Linked DNA regions of Arabidopsis thaliana. The protein of the gene in region 1 interacts with the protein of each later gene in a pairwise test. Each region holds a gene or a part of one and is shown on either strand. Other genes may lie near its edges.

Region 1 (7,174 bases):
AATTAATAGGATTAACACGAATTTCTTACCTAGAACACAGATTGTCTCCCCTTCAATCCTTCAAACTTTGTAAAACAGCAACTAAAAACTTCAGATTCTTCACCGTAACACAATTTTGATTTTCGTTTTTTTCCCAGAATTCTAATCTCAATTATGTAAATATCTTACAATATAATCTATATTATAATAGGTAATCATGAGTTTTAGTTTTGTCAAAACTTTTTAGCATTAAAAACTTCTGAGCCCAACCAATTTTTAAAAATTTTAATTTCAATCTCAAGTGTCAAATTCGCCGAAACCCAGAAAATATTTAATGCATTTCTCGTCGATGAACAGTGTACGTACAAACCCGGTTCTCTTGGATTCCAGCGACGCGGTCCGTACGTACAAACCGGGTTCAGTTTCGTCAGGGCATTTTGGTCAGTTTTTGGCTGAATGGCTAAGAAATGAAATGCCCAGCCCACAGTGTCAAAATTTGAAATTAAAAGTGGGTCAACGGCTACTGTACGCAATTTACCTTATTTACTAACCATGGATATAGAGTGTCTTTACTTCATGGTTAAAACAATTATTCAAGTTATAAACAAAGCGCAACATGAAATACAGTAGTAATATACATGTACACATTACCCAAAAGTGTGGCTAAGAATATGTAAATTAGTTCTAATTTATTTTTAATTCTAATTTGGCCATTTTAGCCGTTCAATAGAAGAGGGGTTCTCTCTTTTCCTGAAACTAACAACAATTGATCTTTCTCTTCGTTTGCTTTACCCCACATCACAGCGTAAAACCCCAACGTTATCAATAGTCCTCCTATCAAACTGCAAAATGAAGCAAAAGCTTGAAAATGTTTTTGTTTATAAATGTGTATAATTAATGAAGACAATTGATGAGTGATCACATACCATCCGAGATAGAGAGAATCGTTGAGAAAAACTGCGCTCATAACCACCGCTATTAAAATCGACAAAGGCTTAAATATCGCTAAGTATAGAGGTCCTTTGTGACGTACTGTCCATGAATGGATCACATAGTATACTGAAGTAATTATTGCCTGAAATGTTTTATAAAATACTAGGTTAAGATCAAAAGTAAATATATTGGTAATCTTTTAAAATTATGTACAACGTACCATAGTTACAATTGTTATCAAAGTAATATCAAATCGAATGATCCAAACGCTTGGATTGTTCTTTTCCACTACTAGTCCAATCATTGAAGTCACGATTGAAACCGATACAATGTAGAGGAAGGAGACTGTGAATGCTGCTGGATATGTACTCATTATTTTTGCCTGGCCAAATACATTTTATAGAATAAACATTGAAATTATATATGCATGTTCAACCTTCTTTCAAAAAACAAAATTTGATATTTGATGTATGAAGATAGTTGATTAACTTCAAAACCCCAGCTATTTCCAGAGCTGGCTTTACGAGTTTCATGACTCCAAGCAAAACAATAATTACTAGGGCCTCTTATTAGTGAAAAATTATATATTTTCGGCAAAAGGTTATAATGGGACTCCAACTTCGCACATATCACTGATATTAGTACTCTTAGAATCCAACACTATCATGCGGTTGAGATGAATTGAGATGAATTTGAATCAAACAGGAAGCTTGTACAGTAATGGACGACCATGGACATATCCAATGGACATGGTTATCCTTCATGGATTTGGACAAGTTTTTGGACCATAAACCATTATGGACCGTTCATTAAACCCCAAAAAAAAAATGGTCCAAATGGTCAAACCTATTGGACGTTAAACGGACCACTTGACACCTTATTAGTCACTTTATCATACTCTTACATATATATATATTTATTTATTTCGACTTCAAACATGCTTGTCTTGCTTGACCCCATGGCCGCCTCTTCCTGTATGCCTATATCTAGTTTTAACATCCAATGTTTATGGTTGAGAGTTTTCTTCTATAGGTAAGTAAATAGTGATTGGTCTATGACCAACTCGATCATCGAGGGCCGGTCCTTAACTTTAAGTGGCCTCAAACATAACTAAAATATGTGGATTGGAAAAAGAAAAAAAGGATGAAAAGGAATGCAAAAACAAATAGAGCAAATAATATTAGTAAAAGCTCGAACTTGTGAATCGGGACTAAGTTATAGAAAGTCTAACCACTAGACTACATTGTGTGGTTTAAAACAGTTGCTTTCCTGCTTTATTGGCGGGCCAGGCCTGCCATCATCTATTGATTAACCTAGAATTTGATGGTACGTTGTTTTGTGATAGCACATGAGTTTTGCTGGTATGGGGTAATTCTTTACGGGTTTTTGTTTTCAAGTTAGATTCTCTATTTGGCCTAGGTTCGAGGATCCAGTGGGTTTACGGTTGAACTAATTTTCCTCGGTTAAGTCTGTTGTATTTTAAAAATTCTGCCTCCGATAACAAAATTAGTCTCTTTTGCATGGAACATATCCAACACTTTGTATTATTTCTATTATGTATAAGAACAAAAATTTGTACCTGGAGAATGAAAGAAACAGAAACAAAGATGTCTCTTATGGTAAGAAGAGCTCCGCCGATGAGCCAATCTGAATTTGAAGATGATAACGGCGGAGAAAGCTGACGGAAGTTTATATACGGCGGAGAAGATGCAACAAAGACACGTGGACCATGGTAGAGAACCACAACAAGTGCGCCTATTAACGACAATATCGTCCCCATCACTTTGGCTACACTGCTCCTTTCTTTGAAAGATACTTTTTCCATTCTTTATCCACAAATTAAAAATTTGTGTTATATTTTATGGATTCCAAAATAAAAAGAAAGGTATAAATAGTCAAAGAAAGAAGAATTCATACGCATCTTGTTGAAATGCAAACAAACAGTTTTTTTTTTTTTTTCAAACAAACAGGGATGCTGACATTTATGATTTATTTACCAACGTTTATATGCAAGCCTTTTTGTGGAGTTTATGTGTAACAGTAACTTACTTTTTTACTTTTGGGGTACTAAATTTCACAGTAAGATATAGAAAAATTCTTTCTAATATCCTTTTTTTGGTGTTCATTTTCAACTTTACCCTTATTTTTTAGCCATTTTAATTTTATTCTCTTTAAATTTTTAATTATCATTTTATCCATATTTAAAAATTGTTTTAGATTAATAAAATGAAATATTAATATTTTTTTCGCCTAAACTATTTCAAAATAAATTTCTCGCCAAAAGTTTCCAATCAAAATATTTTCCCGCCAAAAGTTTTTTTTTAAAAAACATTTTCCCGCAAAAAGAGTTTTTTTTTGTGGGTAATAGATTTACAAGGGATTTTAAAAGGGTTTTCAAAGATTTATAAGAGATTTTAAAAGGGTTTTAAAATATTTACAAGGAATTTTAAAAGAGTTTTAAATGATTTACAAGGGATTTTAAAAAGGTTTTAAAATGTTGACAAGAAATTTTAAAAGGGCTTAAAAAGATTTACAAGGGATTTTAAAGGGTTTTAAAAGACTTACAAAAGTTTTTTTTAAGATTTTTAAAGGATTTAAAATTGTTTTAAAAGTGTTTTGAAAGATTTACAAGGGATTTCAAAAGGGTTTTAAACGATTTACAAGAGATTTTTAAAGGATTTAAAAGGGTTTTAAAAGATGTACAAGGGTTTTTAAAAGATTTTTAAAGAATTTACAAAAAGACCCTTTAAAAACTCTTGTAAATCTTTTTAAAACCTTTTAATATCTTTGTAAATCTTTTAAAACCCTTTTAAAATCCATTGTAAATATTTTAAAACCATTTTAAAATCCCTTGTAAATCTATTTTCCGCCAAAAAATATTTACAAGGATTTTTAAAAGCATATTTTAGTTGAGAAAAAAATTGTTACAAAAAAACAAATTGGCGGGAAATTTGTTTTTTGGCAGAAAAAAAGTTTGGCGGAAAAATTTCAGTTTCCAATTACATGTTCCTATTAGATGAGAGTAATTCGGTCATTCTGTTCAAGGAAAGAGATATTTTGTAAAATGGACAACATAAAGAGGTATTGTTGCAAAAAAGTAGTAAAAAAGGTAGTTTTGCTAATCTCCTTAAGATAATATTTCTTAATATTTGATTTTTTGGAAAAATACACATATTAAGAAAACCTATTAAAAACAAATTATAAATGTATTATTTTTTATGATTTATATTTTTAATAATTCAAAATCAATAATATTTTATTTATTTTGGAGTTTAATATTTATCAATAAGAAATAATTAATATTAAATAAAAAGCTTAAAAATCAATTTTTTAGTAACAAATTTTTTCCTAAAATATTAATTAATAAGAAACATAAGAGTATTACTAATCAATACGTTTATTTATAACGGAGAATATTGCGCTTCAATAACAATTTATTATGTTTACTGTGGTTGTTTAATGCAACGTAATGATATAATTAAAGAGTTGGATTTATTTATAATTAAATTTTCACTACTCGTCGTTTACCTAATTCACTATACAGTACGTTTATACAGTATATTTATCTGAGATAGTGGGTAGCATAGCCGCATAGGGCAACTAGGAATTACCAAATTAGGAAAAGCTTGGTTAGCAAAATATATTGGTTTGTAAAACCTAACATAGTAACATGACCCGACTTTAAAAAACTTAATTTGGTGAACTAAAAAAACAATATTCAATTTTAAGTTGACTTATTTAGCCAATTGTGCCCGGGAAAGAAAATGTTTCGATTTCGACACCTGAACTAGAATAGTTTGCTTTTAGAACAATCTGAAATCTGCAAATAATTGGAAAAAAAAATATAGATATCAAACCTGAAGATAATGGCGAGGATGAAGGTAAGAGCAGGAGTGATATTGCTAATGGCAGAGGCTAAGGTTGGGCTGCTGTATTCGATGCCTATGTATCCTGTGATCACATACATTGATCTGTTCATTTTTATTGTCAGCCAAAACCATTTATTAGATTGTCCACCAAAAAATCACATGTTTAGCAAATAGGAACATAATTTCATACTTAAGATTGGAAAAAAGATTGCGTTAGTAAGAGTTTTTACCCTAGCAATCCAAGAAGTCCTATTTTAGAAAGTATTGACAAACTTAGTGGAGGAAGTGATCTTGACCTGTAAAGAAAAACAAAAAATAAATAAATGAAATCAATACCACCAAATGTTTATGAAAATAAACTCATAAAGTTACTAGAAACCTGTCGGTGAAGAACAGAGAAGGAAGAAGAAGGAGAGAAGCAAGAAGATAAGAATAGCCGAGGAAAGCGTAAAGATTGAGTCCCTTTGAAGTTGCTACTTTAAACAAAGTACTTATTCCGACTACGCCGGTTTCTGTCGCCAGCATGGCCGTCAAGAACACGGCCTCTCTCCGCCAGAGACTTACTGTCCGGGCCATTATTGGAAAATGATAGAAAGGTTGTATGAAATGTGATTCTTTAATTCATTATCTTTTTGTTGCTTTTCTTGATGTTACAAATATAAAGAATAGCATTATGTAGGTCCAATAATTATCGTTTGTTGACTTTATAATATTCTTTATTCTTTTGGTGAAAAATGAATAAGATTTATCGTTTTTACCAATCATAAAACGGCACTAAAAAGGACATAAGACTGTATTTTCATTTTAATATTGATATTTTATCGTTATTTTATATCATTTTTAATTAATATGGTATTCTTTATCATTTATTTTTTTTGGTAAAATACATAATATTTTGTGTTACTAATCGAACCTAAAACATCAATTTAAGTTTCCATATGTTGGAGTTGAGGAAAAGTGTTAACTCAGTATTTAATCTCTCTCTAGAATTTGAGAATTTATGTATGAATTTTGTAGTACAAGGAACAAAAGAAATCAAAAAGCTACACCTTTGTTTCCTTTTCCCAACCACTCTATACATGCTAGGTTCAAAGAAACTTAAAAAAAAATTAAAAGTATCAGTACAATTTTTCTTTCTTAAAGATCATTATTGTTGCAAAACTTACAATATAGTGATAGTAAAAACCGATAATGCAAGAATTTTAAAGAAAGTGTTTCTGTTTCTATAAAACCGTTCACCAAACTCACATGATCATGTTAACAAACCATTTAATCTCTCTTGTAAAAATATATATTTTCTTTTGTAGTCATTTCTTAAGCAAATGGTTGACCATGTATTGATCCTACCTCGTCCTACCTCTCCAGTGTTACTATCAGAAATATTTTCATTTGTTTTCCAATGCCTCTATTTGGCTGCTTAATTAACTTACAAATCTTTAAATCGATACTACTTAAAATCGACCAAAATTCGTTAGATGTCGTGATCTAACGAATTTAGATAGTCGTTACGTACCCGTAACTTAAAAAACAATTAGATAGTCATTTTCTAAGTTATATACAAAGCAATACACAGTATACACTAATAGTTTGCACGCTATGTATATAAGAGACTATTTCAGAGTTTGTAACTCCTTTGATTATAAATTTTTTTTCATTTAAATTTGGTCGTTTTTGCCGCTCAATAGAAGAGGGGTTTTCTCTTTTCCTGAAAATGATAACAACTTGTTCTTCTCTTCGTTTGCTTTGCCCCACATCACAACATAAAAGCCTAATGTTATCAAAATTCCTCCAATCAAACTGCAAAATGAAGGACAAAATCAAAAATGAACATAATGGTTTTTTTCTTTATAGATATGTGTATGAAGACTATTGATTAGTATACCATCCGAGATAGAGAGAATCGTTGAGAAAAATGGTCCCCATAACCACTGCTATCAAAATAGACAGAGGCTTAAATATCGCTAAGTATAGAGGTCTTTTGTGACGTATTGCCCATGAATGAATCACATAGTATACTGAAGTTATTATTCCCTGAAATAGTTTACACATATAAAATAAAATTAATGTTAAGATCAAAAAGAAAATATTTTGATAATTTTCTTTAACATATATATAACATACCGTAGTAACAATTGTAAACAATGTAATATCGAAATGAATGATCCAAATGCTTGGGTTGTTCTTTTCGACTACTAGTCCAATCATTGAGGTCACGATTGAAATACATAGAATGTAGAGAATGGAGACTGTGAATGCTTCAGGATATTCTCTCATTATATGTGTCTATCCAATAAACATTAAAATTAAATTAAATGATGTTTAATAAATGAAGATATAAACCACGTCAATTTGTGTAGCTTTCTCCAAGCAGTCTAGTTTGCTATGCATTCATA
Region 2 (4,908 bases), on another chromosome or scaffold:
GTTACAACTTGCAACAAAAATTTCTTTCTTGATAAGATTTCGTTAGAGCATATTGTATGTGTGCTTAGAACACAACAATATTTGAGTTTAGATAGAAAAAAAAAAAACCAAAATGTGATTTTTATCTATTCCAATAGGCCAGTGAAGTAGGCCCATAACTACTGCGCAGCCCATTATTCTACCTAACATGTTTCATTAACTAAAAGTCTGAGGATTCTTGTTGTAAGTGCTGGTGATGTTTCTTAAGAACAAATCAATTATAACTTATTAGCGAGTAAGATTGACCTGTAAATCGAGTCTGTTCATAAATGATAAATCTCGCAGATACTTTATCCATTTTTTTATTCAAAGGAGAAATAAAGATAATTCACAGGTTATCTAATGTGACATTTTGGCTTTTTTCTTTCATACTTCACATGCTCTGTACTCAAAAAAGGTTTATACTTTTATAGTCCATTCTGTGATATCTTCTGCCACATTCAAAAGACTACAAAATGTACCAAAAGATACAGAATCATAACTCAACACTCTCCTCCACTCTTCACAAAAGAGAGTAAATTGCAATAAATCTTGAAAACTTCCTTTTTTTCTTTTATATATTTTTACTCCATAAGCAAAATAAGTGGTAGCAAACAAAACCAAAAAATGAAAAAACACAATCGTTACAAGCAACGATGAAAATCCGCCAGTAAAAACGAAACCGAATGATTTAGCGGATATGTTCCTTCTTCTACTTTGTGGGTTTCATTTTCTGGTAACGACATTCTTAGTTCTACCGCAGCACATCAAAATCTAAAGGTTTTTACATATATATGTTTTGTCTGGTGTTGACCGTCTCATGGAGATTAAGGAAAGAACCAGACCTTGATGAAGATTGAAAGAACCATTTGCAGACCAAATGCTGCAGCCATTACAACCGTGATATCATTGTTCGTCTCGAGGTAAGACCGTAGATTCAGGGCAACAAAACACGATGATGCACTACCAGCTAAGAGTATAATCACCCATCTCAGAAACTCTACTGGAATAAGCAATGGAAGCTGCAAAATAGAACATCCTGAGTGTTATTATGCTTAAACAGTATGAAGTATAAAGTTGTGATATCAAGTTAGGTTGATTTATGTCATTGTACATGGTCATTGAAAGTGAAGTTACCAAACCATTGTGTATCAAGTATATGCATTTGTCTTTAGTGTTACTGATCATCAATTGATTAATTTTAACAGCAAAAGAGACCGAAGTTACTGAAGATACTTACAGAGGTTGGAACGAAAATGAAGAGAGAGTATCCCCAAAGGCACCAGAATCTTAGAAGATCAGCTTTGGACCCCATATAACGGAGTGCAAAATAAAATCCCAGAGGCACAATTATTGCATATCCATATATTATAGATGCTGCCAAATTCATATAGTTCACATCAAAGATCCAAGGAGCATTACTGTCGGTTCGTTTCTTCACGAGATATGTAGCACAATTTCCGAGAGAAGCAAGCACAAACACAAGCGTAGTGCAGATCCAGACAAGTCCATACCTAACAGAAGCACACACGAGTCATTAATCAAGAATAATTTGTGAAAGGCCTAGCTTTTAGCCAATCTTTAGAGGATAACATATTATGATGCTTTCTGTTCATTTGTCCAAGAGAAAATGAGGATATTTTAATCAATCGCCTGAAGTAACATAGGAGTAAATGAATAGCAAGATCATGCTTTCGGAAAGGTGCAGAAGATAACACTTAGAACGGTAACAAATTAACGGCATGACTGAGCAATGGACCGATTAAAGAAATTCGAAAGAACTCTCTCATGGTAAGTACAATCACCAAGAAGAGTGAAGGAGAAAAAGGCATTAAAAGACTTACAAATCAGGGTTTGCATCAATCTTGTTGAAAAAATCTCCACTAGTAGGATATAAAGAGCTCATTAATCTGTTCAAAACAACGTCCGTGTCCACGTCGAAGTATTGGGTATATGAGTAGACATTAAAAAAGCCCTTCCAGTTGTTTGATGGCTGTTGTGCTGGTCCTTCTACTGGAGCAGATAAGATATATCACCATATAAGACAGAACAAGGTGAAAACAAAGGTATATAGGATCTTGACATCCATAAGAAAAACGAGGTTGACTCACACAAGTATTCTTTCAACCATTGTACTGATTCATGGTGACTACAGATAAAAATATCTCCTAAAAAAGGAATCTAAAAGGAGCATATATACCTGTTGGGCTCTCAAGAGTTTGATAACCCTTTGTATTGTTTCCTAGATTCGGTGGAAATATTTGCATGCTTGCAGAAGGGCCTGCAATAATGCAGAAGACATACAACACTCAATGTCTTTCACTACCGGAAAAGTTCTTTGCAAAAGATAATTCAAGCAGAAACTAGCAAAAGAACACACCTTCATTGACGCTTGCTATTGGTACATTTGTGCTTCTCTTGTCGTCGCTGATCACAGCCTAAGAATACAGATGTTTGTATCAGACATAATAACACGGGGATAGTCAATCCATTCACTCAAAACATTTATCTTAGCGGATTCAATCCAAAATGAAGCTATCATGCAAGCATTTAAACTCAAATACAGTTTTGTTTTTCATACGAATTGTCTCCTAAAATGGTGAAAAAACTTAAATAAAACGCCTTAACAAATATAGAAACCCAGAAATGCAAATAAGGAAATCGTCCATTGTTCTATGAGTGTGAAGACTTTAGGCATCATCGTGGACGCGAAAAAATATGACAAAAAAATCTGAAAAGTTTCAAAATTCTACTTCCTAATGTAACACTTGAGACAGAACAACAAACAAAATGATGGCATGAACAAAAAACGTTAATTTTCCCTTCACACAAACAAGGATCATAGAAAAACTCAATCAAAGAGCTTATTGATGGTGAAATGAAAGAAGCAATAGATGTAATATAGACTTACCGGAACTGAACCAAGCAAATGGCTTGATTGTAGATTAGCGAACGACTCATCCATCGATCAAAGAGAAAAAGATATCAAAGAAAAACTTAGAAGATAGGTTCTTCTAATCTCATTCAAAAATCGATAAGATCGGAAAAAAGGTCGTCCCTTTTTCTGAATTTTTAAGGTTTCTGGGTTTGCTTCTCCTCCTCCGTCGTCGTGGAAGCAATTGGGAAAGGAAGAGAAACTAAAGAAAGAACGATCCACGCGCTTTCTTAGCAAGTCGGTAAAACACGCGCTGTTCACTTTCGGACACGTGATTTGCCGACTTGGGCCCAGACAATCACAAGATTCACACAAGACTTCAAAAACAAAGGCCCATATTTAAATTTTGACCCGAATCGTGATTTGCCGACTTGGGCCCAGACAATCACAAGATTCACACAAGACTTCAAAAAGAAAGGCCCATATTTAAAATTTGACCCGAATTAAACAATCCGACTTGACCCGTTTGAGGAGAAATTCACTCAACAGTGTTTCCTCTCTTCGTCTTCCCTCCCGAGAAAGCTCAACGGAGCCCTAGACTGGTTTTATCACTCTCGCCAACACCAACCACGCTTTTTCTCTCTTTACCTCCATTTTTGTATTCGTCACCGGAGTAGATGGATACGAGAGAAATCAACGGTTTTGCCTCCGCCGCGAGATCGATATCTCTTCCTACGCAGCCTAATTACAGTAGCAAGCCTGTTCAGGTTCTTCCGCTTTATACCTTTTTATTTCTCCACTGAATTAGTTTAGCTCAGGTCTTAGGATTTCTAGGTTCAGCTTAAAAAAATGGGTTTTGCAGAGCTTAGAGTTAATTTCGAATTTATTGTTTGTAACTTACAGGAGGCGTTGAAACATTTGGCATCTATAAACCTCAGAGAATTATGTAATGAGGCAAAAGTTGAGCGATGTCGTGCAACAAGAGACTTAGCTAGCTGTGGAAGATTTGTGAACTATGTGTTGAATCCATGTGGTCATGCCTCCTTGTGCACAGAGTGTTGTCAGAGGTGTGATGTTTGTCCTATCTGTAGAAGTACGCTACCAAAATTTGGAGATAGACTTAGGCTTCGTCTCTATTATGAGTGTGTTGAAGCTGGTTTGATTTCCCGAACACATGAAGAGGCGTCACAGGATTCGGATGAGGATGAACATCAATTGGCAGCTGATGTTCATCGCCTTTATTCTCTGTTTGATGTTGCTATGAACAATAATTTGATCTCGGTGGTTTGCCATTGTATCCTTCAGTTGCATTTATGCTTGGTGTCTGATATATGCATTTAGTCTTTTAGTTTCCTGTTTGATACTTTCATGAATTTCTTTTAGATTCGTATGCTTGTGCTATTAGGAACTGTGTTTATATGGGGAGTTTTGTACTGATAGGTTCATGTATTTTTAGGTAGTTCTTGTTTCATGCTTGTCTCTGTTGGGCGAAATGTGCATAGTGTTTTTGTCATTCATTCTCTAAGAGGTATTTTATGTTGGATGCATAGTTGACATCTCCTTGACAGAAAATTAATAGATATCACCAATGTCTGTATGGATGAGACAGCTGTATCTAGTGATCCGGTCATTGCTTTCTTGCTGGATGAAGTTGTTGTCAAGGATTGGGTCAAGCGTACATTCCGGAGCACCTTAGCTGAACTTCAAGAAATCTGTATCCTTTTAGCTGTTAATATTTTTATGTTTCTTAAGACTGTATATTTGTGCACCGTAAGGTCTGTCTATCTTTAATATTGGCCCTCAGATAATCTTGAAACAAAAGAGATGCAAGCGTGGTTAGATAAACTCCTAAGGTGTTCCAAACAGGTGGCTGGCATATGTAGTGTGCTCGAAGTTATGGAATCAGCTTTTAAGGGTTCTGTGTCACCTCAGCTTCAAGATGTGCAGACGCTGAGAGAGAACATTGGTAAAACAAAGCAGGTCAGCCATGATTTCATTTCATTGATATCCAAACA

The links. The genes of interacting proteins can lie anywhere in the genome.
Region 2: the proteins of UMAMIT45 (region 1) and AT2G39805 interact in a protein complementation assay, tested with the Arabidopsis thaliana proteins (one large-scale study listed by BioGRID).

Annotation. Positions count from the first base shown.
Region 1 is NC_003074.8:10,454,334-10,461,507, reverse strand, and holds UMAMIT45 (nodulin MtN21 /EamA-like transporter family protein), read right to left. Parts: upstream 5,480-7,174; 5' UTR 5,358-5,479; coding exon 5,161-5,357; intron 5,078-5,160; coding exon 5,012-5,077; intron 4,884-5,011; coding exon 4,770-4,883; intron 2,739-4,769; coding exon 2,492-2,738; coding exon of another isoform or gene 2,351-2,491; exon of another isoform or gene 1,295-2,350; coding exon 1,133-1,294; coding exon of another isoform or gene 1,118-1,132; exon of another isoform or gene 1,055-1,117; coding exon 906-1,054; intron 822-905; coding exon 695-821; 3' UTR 508-694; downstream 1-507. Other genes in the region: UMAMIT47 (nodulin MtN21 /EamA-like transporter family protein), read right to left, coding at 6,437-6,578, 6,664-6,812, 6,903-7,064.
Region 2 is NC_003071.7:16,609,371-16,614,278, forward strand, and holds AT2G39805 (Integral membrane Yip1 family protein), read right to left. Parts: upstream 3,185-4,908; 5' UTR 2,984-3,184; coding exon 2,930-2,983; intron 2,457-2,929; coding exon 2,399-2,456; intron 2,300-2,398; coding exon 2,219-2,299; intron 2,032-2,218; coding exon 1,863-2,031; intron 1,533-1,862; coding exon 1,259-1,532; intron 1,041-1,258; coding exon 846-1,040; 3' UTR 529-845; downstream 1-528. Other genes in the region: HOS1 (ubiquitin-protein ligase), read left to right, coding at 3,571-3,660, 3,797-4,187, 4,473-4,607, 4,698-4,873.